2 linked regions of the Oreochromis niloticus genome follow. The protein of the gene in region 2 purifies or fractionates together with the protein of the main gene of each other region. This does not show direct contact. Links are inferred from orthologs where the notes say so. Each region holds a gene or a part of one and is shown on either strand. Other genes may lie near its edges.

Region 1 (10,801 bases), on a different chromosome or scaffold from region 2:
AACACCAGTTTATCTGATCCACAATATGGGCCTGTACATTTTCTTTATTGTTTACAGTACATTTCATTATATCATCTTTGTCAGTGAGAGATAAATCTGCTGTGCCACAGTGTGCCCACACCCAGCCTCTTGGCAGGGAGACACACTCATGAATGAAGCTTAGTCATAGTGACAAGTATGTTCAAAAGTTATGTGACCGCCGACTCACTGAATCTGAGGGATGACTTACAATGTTAGAGCTGTTTCATTTGGCTATTTTGTACATGTGTTGCTACAGAGGTGACAAATTACAGAAAAATAGGATTAGATATGGTCTATGTGCTGCTAGAACAGTTTGCATTTGTTTTGATTTTTTGAGAGTAAAACATGATTTTTCCTCAGTTAATGTTTTGATGAAGTTGCTTTTTGCTGGCTTAAAATCATTGCTCTGAGAACAGCAATGTTTGATAAGAGGATAATGAGCATTTTTGTACTTTTGTACAGCAGACTCAAACCGTGTCAGCATAAGAGGCCCACTAGGTTGTCGCCTCTTTTTCTTAACTTTCTGTACTTCTGTGAATTCATCAGTAATAGCTGGTCTCCGATTTTTTTTTTTTTGGCCAAAATGTGTCATGAAAAAAACCTACCCCAAAATGCCTGAGTATAATCATTTGAAAAAGGCTTTTCTTGGTGCTTTGTGACACACTGCTGACAAAGGCTTTCAGGCAAAACCACAGGAGACGTCCCCACCCAAAAAAACAAAATCCGACATTGTGCCATCTAATGATGACACTTCCTCAAATGACAGCCAGTAAATAGCTAAAAGTGGGCTTTCCAGTGACAGGCACTGCTATTAACCATACAAACGACTCGAAATAAAGACTGTGACAATATAATGAATGACAATAAATGAAGGACTTCTTTTTCTTGAGGTTCTCTGGTGACTTAGTGGCAGGTTAAATTTTGGTAGACTGTCGTGTTTGGACTTGTCCACAGCTGACTGAACCTTTTCAGAATCAGAATCAGAATACTTTATTGATCCCTAGGGGAAATTATTTTTGTTACAGTGCTCCATTATAAACAAACATTAACAAAGACAGACAATACACTAACTAAGAATAGCACAATATATACAGGCATATATATACATAAAAGTCACTCATTAATAAATAGCTGAAAAGAACATGTGCAAAAAGGGTGTAGCTGTTGCAGTAAACAGTGTGTAAAGTGGAGGAGTTGTACAGAGAGATGGCCACAGGCAGGAATGATTTCCTGTGTCGTTCAGCGGTGCTTTTTGGTAATCTCAGTCTGTCACTGAACGTGTTCCTGTGACTGACCAGCATGTCATGGAGTGGGTGGGAGGTGTTATCCAATATTGTCTTTATCTTGGACAACATCCGCCTCTCCGACACCACCTTGAGGGGGTCCAGCTCCATCCCCACAACATTACTGGCCTTACGGATCAGTTTATCAAGTCTGTTGGCATCTGCGACCCTCAGCCTGCTCCCCCAGCATGCAACAGCATAGAGGATCACGCTGGCAACAACAGACTCATAGAAAATCCTGAGCATTTTCTGGCAGATGTTGAAGGACCTCAGTCGCCTCAAAAAATAGAGACAACTCTGGCCCTTTCTGTAAAGTGCTGTGGTGTTTTTAGCCCAGTCCAGTTTATTGTCAGTGTGTACTCCAAGGTATTTATAGTCCTCCACAATGTCAACACTGCCCCCCTGGATTGAAACAGGGGTCAAGTGTTTCCTGGTCTTCCTGAAGTCCAGTATCAATTCCTTGGTCTTTGCCACGTTGAGCTGCAGATGATTCTGCTAACACCACGTGACAAAGGAGTCGACCACAGCCCGGTACTCTGTCTCATCATCCCTGCTGATGCATCCAACCACCGCGGAGTCATCAGGAAACTTCTGAAGATGGCAGGTCTCTGTGCAGTGGCTGAAGTCTGTGGTGTAGAGGGTGAAGAGGAAGGGGGAGAGGACAGTCCCCTGTTGTGCCCCTGTGTTGCTGATTACCTGAGTGAAGTCTCCTCATTTGCATCTGAACCTGGTATTGAGTGAAGGTGATGGGTGGGGGAGGGGTGTCAGGAATCTCAGAGGAGGCAACAGCACCATGTGAAGAGAGAGGCTGGCACAGTGGTGTGGTTCTGGGTTCCAGGCTGACTACAGGTGAGGTTGTGGGGGTGTGAGCAGACACTGTGGTGTCGAATCTATTGAAAAACAGATTCAACTCGTTAGCTCTATCCTCACCTCCCTCAGCTCCCCTGCTGTTGGTTGTCCTGAATCCAGTGATAGTCTTCATGCCCCTCTACACCTCTCTCATGCTCTTCTGCTGGAGTTTCCACTCTGATCTTGTCCTTTAGTAACACCTGGACCTTCCTCACCTCCTCTTTATTGCCCCCTCTGAAAGCCCTCTTCTTGTCGTTGAGGAGGGCTTTGATGTCCTTAGTCACCCACGGCTTGTTATTTGGGTAACAATGAACAGTCTGAGCTGGAACAATGGAGTCGGTGCAGAAAGTTATGTAGTCTGTATATGTAGTACATGTAGTACACTCAGTAAGCCCATTGATGTGCTCGGTGTGAGGCTCACAGAGTGTTTCCCAGTCGGTCACCTCGAAACAGCCCTGTAGTTCCGCTAAGACCTCCTCTGACCACCTCCTAATGCTCCTCGTGGTCACAGGTTCCCTCCTCACAATTGGCACATAGCGTGGGGTTAGGTGAATCAGGTTATGATCTGACCTTCCAAGTGGGGGGAGGGAGGAGGAGCTGTATGCATCCTTTACATTAGCATACAGTAGGTCTAAAGTTTTCTCTCCCCTGGTGGGACAGTCCACATATTGTCTGAATGTTGGTAGTGTATTGTCCAGTGATACATGGTTGAAGTCACCCGAGATCACAATAAAGGCACTCGGGTGCTGAGTCTGTAACCGGGCTATGGCCAAGTGGATAGTGTCACATGCAGCTGTGGGGTTAGCAGAGGGAGGAACATAAACAGCCACCAAGATGACATGAGAGAATTCCCTGGGTAAATAATACGGCCTGAGTCCTACAGCACACAGTTCAATGTCCGGGCAACAAATCCTTTCTTTGATTGTTATGTTGGCAGGGTTACACCACCAGTTGTTAACTAAAACAGCAAGCCCACCTCCTTTCCGCTTACCGCTAGCGATGCTGTCCCTGTCCGCCCGAACAGTGTGGAAGCCTTCCACGGAAGCATTCTCGCCGGGAATGTCCTGGTGCATCCATGATTCCGTGAAACACATCAGGCTACACTCTTTTCCCTCTTTTCTATTTCCTCTGACTCCATACCAGCGCTGAGAGCTCGTCGATTTTATTCGATAAGGATCGCACATTTCCCATTACGATAGACGGCAGACACGGTTTATACCTCCTCCTTGCTTCGAGCCTCCGCTGTCTCACCGTCTCCTTCTTTCTTCTCCTCTGTCCTTGACCTCTGCATCCCCGATGTGTTTTTCTCCAAATTTCAGCTGGTACTTCTGCGGGTCTGGCCAGCGAGCCGGCCGGCATCAGGGTGATCAGCTGATCTCTGGAGTAAACAGTCCGTACGTGTAGGAGATGTGCTGCGGTCCCGTTCCTTGATAATAGTTCCACGGCCACCAGAAGAACAAAAACTCTCTCAATCCACATGATTGAGTGAAATATGATAAACGGATGAAAATACAAGTCAGAAAAAAAAAGAATACGTAAGAAAACAGAGCTAAACTAAGAGAAAAAGCAGGAGCGACTGTAACAGGCTGCACGCTGGTTGGCGCATGCGCACTTTTCTTTCTGGCATCAGTTTGAGAACGACTGAACTAACAGAACAAATCCTCTGAACTGTAAAAAATATACCCAACAAAAGCTTTGTTTCTTTCTGTTTTACATGAAAGCTGAAGCTGGAAAAGGGTTTGCCCATTTTTAAATTCAAATATGCACTGGCAGTAATGCAGAAGTAGATGTTATATTCATCATTTAAATCTCACTTAACTACAGGTCAATGTACTGATACTAAAATAATTACGTAAAAAAGTACAAAGTATGCTTAGCGTATTAGTTACCAGTGCAAATTATGATTGTGTTAATGAATAATGCATTTCAAACAGCAGACATTCAGTTGAAAAGGGTGGAGATGCAGCTGTGTTATGTCTTAAATTAGATCTCTCATTAATGACTAAGTATATGTTTTGGAATGTTCAATCAATAAATTGTTATAATTACAGTTACAGTTATAGTTCTAATTATAATTAGATTACAACTTGGTTTATGACAATAAATCGGTGAAATGACAGATTTAAGGAGCAGCCAGTGTGTCCATCTGCATCCCCGAGTCCTATACAGGAAGTGTGGTTTCGGCTCTCTGATAAGAACTTCCTTACCTCTGATCCTAACAGTCTTACCCAGGAAGCAATTCAGGGCTAGGTGAGGGGACTCCCCCACTACTCGTCCAGGTGTCTCCCCTGCTTACTCTGATCAGATAAGCAAACACCCGAATCGTCTTGCAGGTCAAATCTATTAGACCCACGTGTTAATGGTAGCTCTTCCAATGATTGTGGCACTTCTAATGTCTGGGCTTAACTCTAGTGGCCTGGAAAATAGGCCCCAAGGGAAGGTCATAATTACAGCGCTAGAGTAACCTATAAGAGCTATTTGCACTCACAGGTTAGAGAAAGGATTAGCACAACCAGACCTAAGGATGTATTTACGCTGCATTCCAAGTTGATGATAATCACCCAGTGGAAGTATGATGTATCCCGAATTAACCATCTCACACGGCTAAACTGGAAAGTCAAAAATATACAACCAGTTTGCAGATTCACAGGTTCTGGTATCACTTTCAGCTGTGGACGTCTTAGATCCTTATCTTGCAGAAGAACCCTTTCTGTCCCCTCTCTTATTGGACATCACTGTATTAATGTCTACTCACCTGATGTCCATCCTGTCTCTGACTATCAGACTGACATGATTTAACACAAAGTTTAAACTTTAAAATCACCTCATTTTCTTTGTCAATCTCAACAAAGAAAATCCATCACATTTCAACATTGACTCATACACATATAGAATTCACTTCATGTTTCATTCAGTTTATTTAACTGTACTTTGACACATTCTCACAGACATTGTAACAGAATCCCTTTTTTAACAGATGAATTCTTTCTTTTACTTTTTAAAACTGTGTTTTTGTCAATCACAGTTTATTTAATGCAATTTCCTTTTATTAAATCATACATTTTACAAGTCAGACATTCAGAGACTGGTGTGTGTCTTTCAGCCCCAACTTGCACCGCAGACACAGACCTCTGAGTGGCTCCTCTTATCAGAATCCTTTCAAAAGGTTTATTATCTTATTTATTAGATGTGGTAAAATTCCCAGTTATGAAACACCGTGTTATTTTCTGTTCAACGTTAAGCATAATTTAATAAAATTCACATATGAATTTCTTTCATGTAAAATCATGTATGACGATGGTCTGGTGACAGAGTTCTTATCTTCCCGATCATGTACACGCACAAAAATGCGAGCAGTCATTGTTACTACTTGAACACATTTCTCTCTTATGTATTGATCAAACTTATATTTTGATTTATCTTTGATTAAGAATAAAAATGCTTTATTATTAGAAAGGGGAAAAACTGTGTTTTACCGCTCTGATCATTTTTAATCACCTGTAGCTTTTACCCCTCTCACCTCTCAGCTGTGATGGCGGGGGCGGCCAGGGGAACCGCACTCTCTCCTGACCTCACAGCACCTGATAGGTGATAACTTGATGAAACCAGATATCAGAAAGAAGAACCATGCAGCCAATACAATTTTCAAGCTTGGCAGAGAAAACAACATTTTGGTTTTGACCATTTTCTTGGAAACAGAGAAGCAGGATTGTTTCACAAGGTAGCAAAAGGAGAAGAGAAAGATGCTGAAAGCCTTTTTATTCCTGTGCCTTTGTTTTCTTACCAGATAACTTGATTAGCAGTGAAAACAATGACAGGCATATTCAGTAGCTAACTTTGATTTTGCAAAAACCAAAGCAGTGTTTCACCAGCCCTTACAGGGTTTCTAACACTTCCCTATTTTCTGTTCCCCTGAGAACCATGGTCACCTCGAAGTAAAGCAGTTTATATAGCTCTTTGAAGTTGCTGTTGTCCCAGGAAAGCTGGTTTTACCTGCTCGCCTCGATTGAAATCATCGCAGGGCAGGTTACAGACCTGCGTTGTCATGTTTAAAAAAAAGAGGAGGAAGTTATATTACAAGAGGAAATTAGACAAAAGAGAAAATGGATAAGGAGTGGAGATCAGGAAACGGGTGAGGCTGTGTTGAAAAACAGTCATGATTACCCAACAGAGCAACACCTAACTGACGTGAGCCAGGATTTACACAAGAGGGGCTGCAGGAAGCCAAACTCAGGGTGAGACAGCAGTGCAGAGAAGAAAGAAAGGAGAGAAAAGTTTGGTGATGTCAAAGGGTAGACAGCCGGGCAGGAAAGTGAGACGTAAGTGCAAGAGATGAGAGAGAGGGAGGGCAGAGTGGAGGCTGGTGGGTGGGAGGAGAGAGAGAGAGAGCGGCCTGCCTGGCCTTTAGTCTTAACTCAGAGTTTTGTAACTTTCAGTCACAAAGACTGAGAGACCTAACCTCAGCCACACAGGGTGTCTGCAGTCACAGACAGTGCATTCATAAAGAGAAGAAGCGTGGTAGGCACTGTGTACAGAGATGACTGGAAGCTCTGCATCTGCTCACAGAGAAACTGCAGCAAATGGACACAAAGTTTCCTCAAACGGGACAGAACAGAAGGACAGGAAGGTAGAACTGGGGAAGAAGGTGACCCTGCTCCGAGGCATCTCCATCATCATCGGGACCATCATCGGAGCTGGGATCTTCATCTCGCCGAAGGGAATCCTGAAGCACTCCGGCAGTGTGGGAGTGTCCCTGCTGGTGTGGATTGCCTGTGGCGTGCTGTCCCTCTTTGGTGAGTTGGAATATCAGCAGAGAAGTTCTGCTCTTGTAATATACTGGTGGAGGTTCAGAAATCTGTTTTTGGCTGTAGAGATTTAACAATAGACATAAAAAGAAGTCAGAAAAGTAACAAACAGAAGTCCGTCATTTGTTTTCTGTATAAAGTAAGCTTAAAAAAGAAGAGATGTAACCATCACTGCCAAAAACACTGTCAGTACTGAAACCCTCGAGTATGCTTCTTCTGTGCTAAACCTGCTATTTTACAGTTCACTAATGTAAATATCAGAAGTGTAGTGATGATGTTAATATAAAGGCTCATCTCACAGCCACAGAAATCTGCTTCAAACCATAAGCTGTATTTACCAGAGTAACGTTTTATGGCAGCCATCAGGGCTGAACTCACTAACTTGGGTCTGATGTTCAAGTCTCAGTCAAACTTCAGTCTGCTTCATAGCATTGCTTTAAACATGGCTACACATACACAGTGACCTGATAACTCACTGCTGGAGACTGTCACACAGCATCAACACTTGTAAAACTTTTTCCTGCATGATTAGTGTGATGCTGCGACTCATTCTGAATATTCTCACACTTTGTGTCTCGCTCCAAGAAATGTGGACCTAACTATGTGTATTTGTAGCTTTGTGTTCAGCGCCACAGTGGATTTCAAATCAAACAGTCAGGATGTGATCGAAATACAGAGTTTCAGTTTAATTGAAGGGTTTAACAAAAACATTGCACTGACTGTTTAGAAGTTACAGACATATTTATGCACAGTTGCTAGAAATTTAAATGGACAAACTTATTTTAAACATGAACATAACTCATTTGTTGTCAATGATTCTCTCGAGTATTGAAACCCAAGGACCTTTACTGCAGCATTTTCACCTGTTGTCTGTGGGTCTGTGCTTTCACTTTTCTCTTCATTAACTGAACAGCTGCTCTGTTGGGTTGTGAGCAGATGACTTACAGTTAGCTTTGGCTCATTATCATCTGCTCTGTGTGACCATTTCTGCAGCATCAGTCTGAATGATGCAGGCAGTATGGCTCAGTTCATTGTGCTGTTTCTGTTAGCACTCACTGGTAGCATGGTTAAGCCATGCATGTCCATGCCAAAATGTGGCCTCCGCCATGTTACACAGAGGATGTGCTATGCCTACAGGCTGTTTAGTCAGGTCAGAATCTCCAGTCAATTGTTGAACCTTGTCTGACCAGTCAGAAGTGAATTCAGTCTTATTGGGAACAAAAAGACTGAAAAAAAAAAAAAACACTGGAGAAGAGCAGAGTTTGTTGCCAAGTCGTTTACTGAACATCCACAGCAGTGCAAGTTCAACAAAGGAGAGCTGAAGCTCCACTGCGGTCTTTGCCTAAAGCACAAGCAGGCCAGAGGTCAACAGAGATGGACATGGGTGAACACAGACAAAACCTCTACCCGGGGGCTCCCCTGGCTCCACCTTCTATTGTTGTGTAATCCTTCACTTATTGGTTTTAATTGTGTGCAGCTTTAATTCTGTGCACTAATGATTTCTCAATTCATTTTCAAATCTTTGAATAAAAATGACAGATGTGCTCATGGATTTGTTACCTTGTGCAATATGTGAATATACATAATTGCTTGGTTTCTTTGAGAAAGATAACACTTGAATTATGTAATTTTTCAGACTCTCAGTGAACTTAAAACCACCAGAACTTACGAGATCAAATTTGATTTAAACATTAACCACAGGACATATTAGCCAATCATCCTGACATGTAATAATTAACACCACAACTATTGCATGACCTCTTTTGAGCGAGCAGGAAGTAAAAACGTCCTTTTAACATGAAGAAAGCTCTGGCAGAACCGGGGGGGTGTACGTCTGGTTGGGGTTGAGGGGAGGAACACAGGACAAAGTCATGCTGTGGGGGAGAGTCAGAGATTAATCCAGTCCCAATAAAGTTTAAGACCACTTGAGAACTGGCTAAAAAATCCAAAGTTCCAAGTAGAGCTTCAACATCCTACAGGAAGAAATGGGAGTGAGGCAAAACATTTTTTTACAACAGGCTGTTGTACAGCTGATCAAAAGTTTAGGACCACACCTCCAAAAGCACCTGTAAACCCCTCAAAACAGAACTCAAAGTTCCAAACGTGACTCAGTAATGAGCAGCTCCACCGGTATTGTTGATCAATTCAAAAATTCGTTGCAGCATCCTTGATGCAAGTGCTTCCATGAAGTGAGTGGGAACTTTTCTCCAAGTGGTGAAGACCACCACACGAAGGGCATCTACTGTCTGAAGCTGTTGTCCATTTTTGTAAACTTCCCTTGCCATCCATCCCCAAAAGTTTTCAGTTTGATTTAGATCAGGAGAACAGGCAGGATGGTCCAGAATAGTGATGTTATTCTCCTGGAAGAAGTCCTTTGTCCGGCAGGCATTGTGTTCTGTAGCGTTGTCTTGTTGACAAACACAGTCGTTACCACACAGAAATGACTGAAAGATTTATTAGGCTCTGTTTTGAGTTTTGTTCAATAAAGAATGACTTCATATAGGAAAAAAATAAATATCACATATGCAGGACACCTTAAACTAGTTTTTTAAAATTAATTAAGCAAGGCAGAACAAAGTCAGGGCTGTATCAAGACACAGGGACTAAACCTCAATTCAACCAGACCCAGAACTGATCCAGAATTAAAACAGGACTACAACAGTTTAAAATCAGGACTACTTAGGACTTAACCAAGACAGAACCAGAATCAAAACTAGATGATAGTAGCACTAAAAATCATCATAGACCTGCACTACACTTATTTTTTAATTCTACCAAAGTACACTATTTAGATTCAGAAAAGTTTATATAATTATTTAGCCTTGTTGTGCAAACAAGCCTGCAAAACTTAATAAATATAGAATTTGAAAAATAACAAACCTAAAAGAAACACTAGATACATGAGTACCTATGATGGTAAATGGACTGATTCTTATATAGCGCTTTTCTACTCTCCCGGAGTACTCAAAGCACTGCATACAACATGCCTCATTCACCCATTCATGCAAGCACTTCTAAACACAAGTGCAAACTATAACTACATTCACACTCCGATGAATGCATCGGAGGGCAATTTGGGGTTAGTATCTTGCCCAAGGACACTTGACATGCAGACTGGGGAAGCTTAGGATCGAACCACCAACCTTCCGATCAGTAACTGATCTGCTCTACCACCTGAGCCACAGCCACCCTGTGATATGATACGGTGATACTTTTGGCAAACAACCATTTGACTAACATGCAATGTTCCCTCTAATTTTTCATATGTCTGAGCGAACACACAAACTCCCTGATCGATCCCCTGGACCACTATGAGCGACATCAGACGTGTGCACTGTGGTCACGCCAGCATCGAATCCATCCAAGTTACATGGTTTATTAAAATAATCAAATTACAGCATTTACATTTATGTTAGACTACTTTTAATTAACTGCTTTAGCCCACTTACAATGAAAATGTAAAAAAATCTAGTCATTGACCTGTGCAGTATGTTAACACTATTGGAAGTAAAAATAACTTGAACTTTTTAACTTTTTTTATATATATATATATATATAGAGTAGCTGCAATGTTTTTTGCAGCTACTATTTTTTTTTTTTAATGCAGCCAATGCGCTTTTAAACAAACATTTCAAATTATTTACAGAACAATCAGGTGTTCTGCATTAAATTTGATGCCACACAAATTATTTGTGCCACTCCAAAAAATAATTTCTGTCCCCTATGAAATAAAGGAGAACAACAGCCTGATACCTGCAGGCCTGACAACAGGAGATGTATCACTCCTGTAACACCTGTAACATTCAGCAGTCGCCTCATTGTTCTGACACACACAACAAAACT
Region 2 (11,068 bases):
CATGTGTTAAATATAGAGCTGGAGCCAGATACATGTTAGCTTAGTGAAGCGTAAACACTGCGAGCAAGTTGCAAACAGCAATGCTTGGTCTGTTTTAAAGTATAACCAACTACAACTGCAAGCCAGCGACTCTAACTGGTGAAACATAATGTAGCACAGTGCAATTTGGAAGGTTAGAAACTTTGTTACTGTGGACAGATGAATTCCCTCCCTTAGATAAGGTATAAAGCAAACAAAATTGAGGGGAGAAGAATGCAGACTTTCACCCAAGAAATTTGGGTTCATGTCTTTATACTTGTCCCCTGGACTCTGTTGGTTTTCTAGGCTGATAATAAGACCATGATTTGGCCTTTACAACCGTATCAGAAGGGCAAAAATAGTGGCTGATTCTTTTAAAGAGAGTTAAAATGACAATGTTTAGCTCAGACATGTGTCACTATGTAATGTGGTGTTAAGAGTCAGTAGTTACCTTTCACATTTTAGTGAGATCAGACTGGTTTAATAATGCTCTGTTTCCTGAGCTAAATTACTGCTGGTTGTAGCTCCTGTAATTAGCATGAAGACATGGGAGTGGCACGCTGCTATGTTTCAGGAAGAATACGCTGTAGCATATTTCCCAAAACAACAAAAAAAACCCATTTAATTTCATCTTTAGTGTCATCAAATGCAGCTTACTGAGAAAAGTAACATTTTGCATGTGGCTATTCCCAATTTTTTGTCTTTTACAGCCACATCTTAGTCATTTTCAATACACTGAAAAAACATTTAGGCCCAAAAAGCTACTTTGTAAAGCTTTTATTGCCTAATTGTATGTCAGGCCTGATTCAATCAGGACCTGGAGTGAAGTTTGGGGCCCAAAATTAAATCTCTTATTTTATCTAATATATTATCCAATACTTTCCTTCGAATTTCTTGAAAACTGTGACTAATTAAATGCAAATAAATAACAGACTATTTTTCATTAAAAGTTAATTTATTTTTCCCCAGTTAATGCTAAACTATTGTTTTAAAACTACTTTTTAAAATATACATGTAAGTAAATAATGTAACTATAATGCTTTAAATAATGTGTTTTTTACGTGAATTTGGGGAGAATGTTTGTAGCAATTCTGTTGTTTTGAGCATAGAATTGTTACAATCTATGCACTTCATCAGTGTGTCTAGTAATAGTTACTAGTGTTTCGTTTCCATGCCATAAACAGGAGCAGCCTCAGTGCCGTGATAGCCGATCTACTATCTCAGGCAGTCGGGGAGGAGGAATTGCGTATGACTCTCTGGGCAGACCAGCCATATACAACAACTCCCGGAGGGGGAGAGAAAGGCCTCTGGACAGAGACGAGGAAAGCCGACTCAGAGTGGAGAGATATGTGAAAAACAGCTCTTTATCTTTGGTAAGTGTGTCTTAGTGTGCGTGTCAAGGCTTGAGTTCGCCAAACTGTGGAATGCCTCGGCTCCATATTACTAACCACTGCATAGTTAACCTGATGATGATGCAATCAAAATCTGTGTCTGCTCTGTGTCCTTGTAGCCAGAAACTCACTACCACCCTCCTCTCACGCAATTGCCTCAGAGGATGCAAACGCCCGACTTTCTGAGGTCGATGAACGGCAGCCCCATTGTCCCACCGGATGTGGGGTTGCGACTGGGAAGCATCACCAAGAATCACCAACACCCTCCCGTGAGCAGCACCTGCCCACCCATAAGGGACGACGATGATGAAGTGGATGAAGGGCTGGGCGGTCCTGCCAGTCAGGAGCAACCTTTTGATCAAGACAGCGAGACGAACAGCTCTCAGGTGTCTGAGGGTCACAGTCTGCCCTGCCAGCTTAGTAATGGCCTGTTAAAATACAAAAGGATCCCAAGCCCCCATCCGGTCAATCCCCACACCTCTATAATCCACAAGGCCCAAATAGTTTAACAGCTGGTGAGAAAATAACACGTGAAATTACAGAACTGCACCGCTTTTGTGGATGCGGTTGACTCCAAAGCATCTTTAGGGCATTTCTTATTGCTGCCTGCTGTTTGGGGGATCAGTGGCGTATTCCCCAGATGTTTGCAGAGCTACTGGAAACTAAAGACAATATCACACATTTTCCAGTGCAGCTACTTCAGCATCATCACCGACGATATTCCTTTCTGAGCTTTCACAATACAGCTGTTGCTCTAACCAGCTGCAGCTGACAGGTGAATCCAGCTGCCAGAGCTTATGAGGGGATATTGAAAGCACTTGCTGTGGGAAAAACCAGGAAATACAGGAGGAGTAAACAAGGCTGTGGGAAAGTCGGCAAATCTAAAAAGGAGATTGCAACAGCTCGGTGTTGAGGGTGGACTTCTGATTTGGTTGTGGTGAGTGTAAGAGTAACTGCCTGTGTCACATTCTCTTACACAACATTGGTTGGGACCTGATCCAGATTTTTTTGGCTTGTTCATCTCTGGCCACACCTTCAACCCGCATACCTTCATATTGTCTTACTGTCCTGCCGCCGTAGGCACTGAGACAGTTTGGATCAGATGAAACCTTAATGCCAAAACAAGATTAATGTCCCTTACATGTAGTGATCTGTAAATCTGTACAAATACACGAGTGAGCTCCCTTTTCTTAAAAAAAAACAAAGAACAAAAAAACCAAACAAAAAAACCCCACAAACACCTTTGAAATAGAGCTGTAATACTTAAATCTGAAGTAACAAAGACACAGCATGGTAACAACAACAAATAAAATGTGCTGTCAGGTCATACATCCCTCTGCCTCAGTGGCCTCCTCACTCAGATTCTTCCACATACACGTAGTACATGTGTGCTACAAGCATATTGATGTACACATATATAAGACTAGAGATGACAAAGCATATATGAAACATGCACACTTAATACATTAGAGTGCATTTATGTTTGATCTGTCGATGTTTACACACACAGTATGAATGTCAACATCAATGGAATCTGGAAAAGCTGCCAAACATTTGGAAAACATAGTTAGAATTGATCAGATTCTGTAAGTATGCCTGGATTCTCACGAAGCAGATCGTAGAAATGAATAAAAAAGGTCGCCACACATGGAATTTCTGTACAGTTTGGAACGTTTCCTCCAAAAGAGGACCGTGTCTTTCCAAAAGGAGTTTAACAGGGACATGTTACAGCCTTTGATTGCAGCATAAAAGCCAAACATGTATTTTTTATCTGTGTACTTTTTTTTTTTAATATCTGTTATGAGTATTGGGAAAAATGTGCCAAAGGGGAAACATGAAAAAAAATAACAGGTTTGCTATTCTGGCAAATATGAAGTATTATATTGTTTGTTACATACATTGTATTGTACAATTGTATTGTTTCCTTTTTGTTATGTTATCTGCTGTAAATACGACTTTTTTCCGATACACTTGTCTGATGTTGCTTTAGTTGTGTAAAAAGTGTGCTGGGACAGTTTGTGGCAAACTCAAAGTGATGTGTGACTATTATCCGGCAGCACCTAACAAATGAGAAGCCATAATGTCTGAATGCAGGTTGCATTTGCAGACAGCGCCCCCTGGTGTATACTGCTGGAAAGTGCAGGGGCCTGACTGAGGCAACAAACTGCAGAACTAACCAACTATGAAAAACTGCCTTCCATTGTGATCCAGATGATCTTCTTGGACATTTGCCTGGATTTCTAGTTATTTGCAGAGAGCTCTGGATGGTTATCAGCTAGTACTGATGGGTTGAAATAAATGTATGTGGTTTTTCTAAAGGTGCAGGTGTACAGCACTTTAGTTACCCCTGTACATTCATTTTTTAAACTATTTTTTATATTGTAGAAAAAACCGAATGCACTGAAACTATTACATTTTGTAGTCTTCTTCTTCTTTCAGCTGCTCCAGTCTGTCTCTACCAACCATCTGCATGTCCTCCTTTACTTCATCCATAATCCTCCTCTTTGGTCTTGCTCCCAAAGAACATCTTTGCAACCTCCACCTTCTGACTTCATCTCCAAACCATACATCACAGCAGGTCTCACTACCATCTTGTAGACCTTCACTTTTTTTTTTCTGCCTATGTGCACTGTCTGATGCTGTTGGTTTATCACAGGTATTTAAACCCATCTGCCCTCATAGCTGAAATCACAAATGTATAACGCCAATTCTTGCCTCTTCAGTCTCAGTGCTCTCACTCAGTAGTGGTTTCTTTGCAGTGTTTAAAGAATAAAAGCCTCGTCTGTAACAGCTGATGTTAGGACATGTCTTTCACTTGACTTGTGGTAAACACTAAAGTGGCATCCAATCCGAGGTACTGTTAATTGCAGAGTTAGGAGGCTAATTAACCTTTTCACTGCAGCTCCTGGAACTTTTGGTCTCCTTTTCCAGAGGCCTTCCTTGTAATAGGAGCTTCATCATCACATCAAATGGGTTTTGTCACTTGAAGAAACCTTCATTGCTCCTCAGTGACGGCTGCGGTGCTCAAATTGTGGATGTTGGGATACCGACAGCCTTCGCACTACTGTACACTACATTCATCCACAGGTTATGTCATACTGTGAGAATTTCTTTTCAGTTTTTGCTCTTGTGTTGTAGTCATCATAGCAAACTAAACCTTAAAGAAACGTATTGGCCACTGAATAATTTGCTATACTTTTTAGTTCCTATCCAATGGTTTCTATCACTGTGCATCATCCATATATCCCATTGCTTCATCAGAGTTAATGTAGTCATCTTGGTTGCAACAGGATGAATATGTTTAAATGAATCAGCACCCCTTGAGTCATGCTAACTGTCAGAGTCCTCAAACCACAGGCACAGCAGGAGGAGTGGCAGCCTTCCCCAAGGCCGGTTCTGCCCTACTTTGTTCCTGTTTAAAGGATGTTTTTCCTCCCCACTGTCACAGAGTGCTTACTCATATGCGCTTGTTTGATTGTCAGGGTTTTCTTAAGAGTACTGCAGGGCAAGGGTGTCAAACATAAATTGGTCTGGTAAAGACTCCAGTTCGGACCACTGGACAGCTATGATAAATATAATGGAGGGCATAAATTTTGGACTTTAATTTTTTGATGCATCTTAATGTTTTCCCCTCCCTTATGGAAATTCATGCATCAAACTAATAGATAAACAATTAGATGACAGGACCCTTTCTGTTATTTTTTTAACTACTGATTCTGATACTATCAAAATTTCTCTTTTTTACATCCATAATAACAAAACAAAAACGATAAATAAATACATTAAAAAAACAGGATGTTTCCTGTGAATTAAGAAAAACTTTGTTTTGTAATAACAGGACAGTCTGGGGAATGAGTGACCAGATTTTTTAGAAATGTAATTTTACACATTTATTTCTTAAAATGTATGCCCAAAGAGAGATGTAAGAGATTTCTTACATTTATATGATATTTATATTTAGATATGTTGTTGAAATTGCTCTGCTTTTTCTAATACTAAGCTCAAATGTGCAGTTGAACACCTTTATACTGACAGGAAAGGGCCTTCATCCGGTCCAGCCAACTCAAAATCACAGTGGGCTGAATGTACAAAACTAATTGTTTGTTGGATTTTTACCTTCATCACAGTTATTGAAGAATAGCCACTAACTTGATAAATAAAAGCCAGCCAATTAGAACTAACTTAAGCAGGGATTTGCTTAATTAGTGCATAACTTTTACCATGTTTGCAATTAAACAAATTACCCCAAACCAGTGACTGTGCAGTTCTGTGAGGGTCCATGGTTTTGTGGAAGGACTGCACACTTCACCTGCCTCATAATCCTGTTTGACCCTCAGAAAAGCAACCTGTTATAATGCTGAGGAGGGCTTTTTATATCCCAGCAACAACACGAACCCTTTGACAACACTACCAAATATTTATTTCTTTATCAATTAATCTTAGTTAAAGTTATGATATAATAAAGAAATAAATGTATATTAAATATGACATAATACTGTAATTATGTAAATAAATGCATTATTTTCTGGTAAAACATCAGCCAATGGAATGTACTGGAAGCCTCGTATGACGCTTTAGCTTTGTTAACAAAGTCATTATTCATGCGAAAAGGTTGACCACAAACTAAATAAATGAATGAATGAATGAATGAATAAATAAATAAATAAATAAGTAAATAAAGTAAGTTTACCGGTGGTCTGCGCTCGGAAGTGTGCGACGAGTGATGTCATGCGGAGGGAGGAAACCGATCTCGACAGCTAAGATGGCGGAGGAGCAGCAAGAGTCATCACAGGGAGAGATGGAGGGTGAGAGAAACAGTTACACCAACAAATATCAAGCAAAGTGCGCTGCCATTTCTCTTCTAAACGAAACTCTTATCCACACGAACATCTGTAAAGCGTTTCAGCCGTTGCCTCCTCCGTGCTGAATCTGGCTGATGTGCAGCGGTGAGGGGCACACAGAGGCCAGAGCTTCTGGGCTAACGTTAGCTAGCTGCCAATGCTACACAAAGAAAAAAAAAGCTTGTTTAGTTAATGTCAAGGCAGCAGTGAGTGACAGTCCCAGAGGTTTTGACTTTTGGAAATGCTTAAAATGTGTACTTATTATTAAAGAAAAGGCGTCGTGTTTTTAGTTTATAAAACTGCGTCGTGGCTAGAATTTGTTTTGTTTTCGCACAAGTCGCGCTAGCCAAGTTTAGCTGACTGACGTTAGCTTGTAGGTTAACTTGTTTTGATGTTAAATGCTGACCAAGGGCTAAATGCGCTCTTGTTTGCTTATTGGTGTCAGCAGGTGATGAAAACGGAAGGGGGGAGTGTGTCTTTGTCAATTGATTTATTCCACATTTTATTACATTTTGTTTACATGCAGCTGTCTGGCATTAAAACGAATTCAGTGGTTTCGCCACTGAGAAGGAAAACACCGCGTTAAAAGGGCTTTGTGAAAAAGGACATTTAAACCAAAACGACATGCAGCACCTGGCGCCGTTACTTTTATTAAGAAACTGGCATCTTAACCTACAATGTATTACGGGTGATCGAGTTTATTTATTTATTTTTACAGCCAAGATAATGCAGTCGCATTTAATTGTGATTGTTAAATACAAGCTAGGCACTTTTTAATTTCCTAGTAAAACCAAGTAATATCGAGTTAGTTCAGTTTTAATTCCTGGCTTGTTTGGGTATTACATTGTCACACAGCATTGCAGGTGCAATGCAGGTACACTGCCAGTGTCACTAGGTCACACCTGCGTAAACGCACCAAATGTAAAAGTGAATGCAGTCAGAGATGGGCCAAATCAGCTTGTTCTGATTCCCATCCAATACAGCTTGGGTGTCTGCTAATACTGACTAGAGATAAGATACTGGTTTTAAATTAATAATCTATAACGCTGTGAGCAAGAGACTAGAAAGTATTCTTATATGTGTCAGGAAATACGAGACTTAACTTAAAACATTTTCCTAACTTTGAAAACTGAAAAGGAACAAATAAATATAATTCTATACAAATGTTGATATTTATTAGTGAAATAAAAGAAAACAGCCCTAGGATACACGTGGCAAAGTAAACACAGAGCAACACAGAAATGAATCGAATGGGCTGGCTCGTTATCACTGATAGCTGGTCCAGTTTTCACAGTTGGTATCGGATCGATATCCAATCCAAATATTGAATTGGTGCAACAGTTGTTTCCCTAGTAGCAAATGCTTGTATCCTAACTGTCTGAAACACTAAAAGCTGAAACTGTGTTTTAGCTTTCAGTTCATAATGTTTTTCTATTTTTTCATTTTTTTCAAACCACACATCTGTGCAGTAGATCACATTAGGATCGCACTCTACTAAAAAAGTTAACCTAAGCAGTTTTCCTCAGACTAGCATCCTTTAACGAAACATTAGCACCTCCATACAGTTTGGGAAGATGGAGTTCTGCTTTGATACTGCAGATGTTTGTAGTGCAGTTTTGGTCTCAGTTTCAGAACTGTTACAGTGCTGTTGTCAGTTTATAGTACCATAAATGCTACTATATTTATGGTAATGTAAATCTAAAGTACACACTTTGCATCACTGGAACACTGCGATTTCAAATAGTGCTTCTAATCTGATGTGCAGTTAAAATCCCAATGCCACAGCTTCACTATCCTCTGTTTCAGCCAGTATGTCATTTAAGTACTACTCTACTCCTGAAGCCTCTTGAATTTGTCACCCTTGTCTTACAGGAGTGAACTGCCTAGCATATGATGAGGCCATAATTGCTCAACAGGACCGGATTCAGCAGGAGGTAAGGAAGCTCTTTTTATCTTAAAGGTCAAGTTTAGTTTGGGCAGCAAAAAGAAATAAAGATAGCTTGGCGTTATTCTGGGGATCCGGATGAGCAACTTCAGAAATCTCAGATCACATGTGGACAGGGCTATAAAAGCATAATTTGCACACTGAAAACAAATGAGATGCATGTCTTTGAGAATCTATCTTTGCAGTAATTACATTGACCTTTACCTGTAACAGGGTTTATGTGCACAGCTGTGAGCTTATAATAAAAGAAATGTTACTAATGCATAATCACAGATGTACTGTGTAATAAAAAGTCTAAAAACAAGTATGGAGATGGATTGCAGTGACTAATTTGCAGTTTTGTGTGTGTGGTTGTGCAGATAGCCACCAGTAACCCTTTAGTGTCAGACAGACAGGACCTGTCGGTGCTGCAGAGCGAGTACGCTGAGGATGACACGGTTTATCAGCTCAAGATCAAGGTCAGTCAGAGCGCAGCACCTCTCAGGTTACTGCAGCCACGTGTCAATCCAAAGTTTCTCTGTTTAAATTTGCAATAACAGTTTTGGATCTGATCTTAAAGATTTTTTAAAATTATTGTTATTACAGGACCTGCACAAAAAATACTCGTACATTCGCAAGACGCGACCAGATGGAAACTGTTTCTACAGAGCCTTTGGCTTTGCACATCTCGAGTCCCTGCTAGATGACAGCAAAGAACTTCAGAAGTGAGTGCCAGAGTGGTTACTGTGTGTGCTCTGCTGGCTGTTGGTGTCTATACTCAATGTGTGAATGTGTGTGAGCAGTACACTGTGTTCTGTTTTCAATATTTTAAAATTCAGATAAGCACATAGGTGGCTTTAATATTTACAATGTTTACCTTTAAATACACATTTTGTCTCTTCAGGTTCAAAGCAGTTGCAGCTAAAAGTAAACTGGATCTGGTTAACGAAGGTTTCACTGAGTTTACTATTGAAGATTTTCACAATACTGTGAGTATTCTGGCAAACCTAAATGACTATTTTGCTGAAGTTGCTGTAATAGCAAATGCATGTCATCTAGTTAGATACATTTGTTTTATTTTCTGCTTTTTTGCATTGTTACTGTAAAAAAGCTTAAAAAAAGAGGTGTAAAACCCTCAACCTGACTGACAGCATATCATTTGTTATGTTGGATAAGGTGCAGATGACGATCCTTACTGACTAGCCAATTTTAGATGGTCATCTGCCAGAGCACATGATGTGTTCAGTGAAATGGAACATGCAGCCAAATTTGTTTTGGCCAGTTAAATAGAAAGTTGGCAAGCTGAAGCCCGAGTACATGAGTCTAAATATGTAAATATTGTTTTTCCTGCTAGTTCATGGACTTGATTGAACTGTGTGAGAAACAGCCGAGGCTGCAGGAGGTGCTGAGCTCCTTCAACGACCAGAACGTATCAGACTATGTGGTGGTGTACCTGCGGTTGCTCACCTCAGGCTACTTGCAGCGAGAGCATACCTTCTTTCAGCATTTCATAGAGGGTGGGCGCACTGTCAAGGAGTTCTGCCAGCAGGTGAAGGTTTTCCCTACATAGATAACCATTTTCCTGTTTTTAAATTTAAATATAATGTACATAACTGTTGAATTGTTATGACCGACGTTGTGTAAAGAGTACAGTGTTTGCCATTCTGGTATAATGAAGATGTTTTATTGTCTGAAACTCAAACCTAATGTGCTTTTTTTTTTCTTTCTCTTTTTCCAAGGAGGTAGAGCCAATGTCTAAAGAAAGTGACCACATTCACATCATCGCCTTAGCTCAGGCCTTGGACGTATCCATTCTGGTGGAGTACATGGATAGAGGAGAGGGAGGAACAGTCAATCACCACGTCTTTCCCGAAGGCGGAGACCCCCGCATCTTCCTCCTCTATAGACCTGGCCATTACGACATCTTGTACAAATAGCACTCCTGGCCACGGCCCATCTCATGCATCTCCTGCTGTGTGCCGCAGCAGCGCATTCAGAAAATGCTACCAGCAGCCATGCTGATGAAACATACATCTGTGTATAAGATTACACTTGTGTATTTGGAAAAAAGAAAAAAAGAAAAAGAGAGAGAAAATCACATTACTTGCCTCCTTTGCCCTTCTCGCCCCAAACCCCCAAATTTACCTTCAGTCATAACAAAATGATGAAATAAAAAAAAAAAAAATCTTTGGAAATATAGAAGTGACTCCAACCATTTAGAGTTGTACAGGGTTTTTTTTTCTTTTGTGGTTGTAAATGTTATCTACTTGCTTTGTTTGTTTCTTTTCCTTTGTTACACTGCGTTTCATTGAGTTTTATTAAAGCAATTTACATCTTATTTCTTGTGTCAGTATGATTTTTGTTTTTCAGTTAAATATTGAAAGTTGACAATAACGTTCTTAGTCATCACTGCACACTGATGGAACCTGATATAACTATACTTTAATTGAGAGCATTATTGCACTATTCCTGCAGGTCAAATTAGAGGGAGAGGGGAAAGAAGACGATGGGACTATACAGTAATAAATTGTATATGAACTACGAGAGAAAACATACATGTTAAAATGTTGCTGGTTTCCTAAAAACAGTTTGATCTATAGTTTTCAATATACGGATGTCAGTGATTTACACGGACAGCTGCTTTTTGGCAGGATGGTTAAGTGGGTGTATATTGTTTACACTTGCACTCACACACATGCGCAGTTCCGTCACTGCAGCATAACCGAGTCAAAGATCGTCTATAGCGTAGCAAATACTTTGCTCTAGCATTTTATGGACGGAGAGTCCTCTTGGTACTAAGAAAAAATACCAAAGTGAGAACTTACGACAAAGGTTGGAGTGAAACTAAGGCAAGATGTCTCCGTTTTTAAAGTCATTTTTGTCAGGCAGAAGAG

What was found. Proteins that work in one complex are often made in the same cells at the same time.
Region 1: the proteins of ubiquitin thioesterase OTUB1 (region 2) and slc7a11 purify together in Homo sapiens (affinity purification with western blotting; 5 studies listed by BioGRID, with this or other methods). This does not show direct contact. The link is inferred for Oreochromis niloticus from reciprocal best matches to the Homo sapiens genes OTUB1 and SLC7A11.

The regions. Positions count from the first base shown.
Region 1 is NC_031966.2:1,399,425-1,410,225, reverse strand, and holds the start of slc7a11 (cystine/glutamate transporter), read left to right. Parts: upstream 1-6,314; 5' UTR 6,315-6,690; coding exon 6,691-6,946; intron 6,947-10,801. UniProt on the Homo sapiens protein: Heterodimer with SLC3A2, that functions as an antiporter by mediating the exchange of extracellular anionic L-cystine and intracellular L-glutamate across the cellular plasma membrane.
Region 2 is NC_031967.2:5,951,890-5,962,957, reverse strand, and holds ubiquitin thioesterase OTUB1, read left to right. Parts: upstream 1-5,985; 5' UTR 5,986-6,132; coding exon 6,133-6,214; intron 6,215-8,122; coding exon 8,123-8,184; intron 8,185-8,554; coding exon 8,555-8,653; intron 8,654-8,780; coding exon 8,781-8,899; intron 8,900-9,078; coding exon 9,079-9,163; intron 9,164-9,528; coding exon 9,529-9,723; intron 9,724-9,913; coding exon 9,914-10,111; 3' UTR 10,112-10,512; downstream 10,513-11,068. Other genes in the region: nectin4a (nectin-4), read left to right, coding at 1,203-1,391, 1,529-1,918; citrate synthase-lysine N-methyltransferase CSKMT, mitochondrial, read left to right, coding at 11,029-11,068. UniProt on the Homo sapiens protein: Hydrolase that can specifically remove 'Lys-48'-linked conjugated ubiquitin from proteins and plays an important regulatory role at the level of protein turnover by preventing degradation.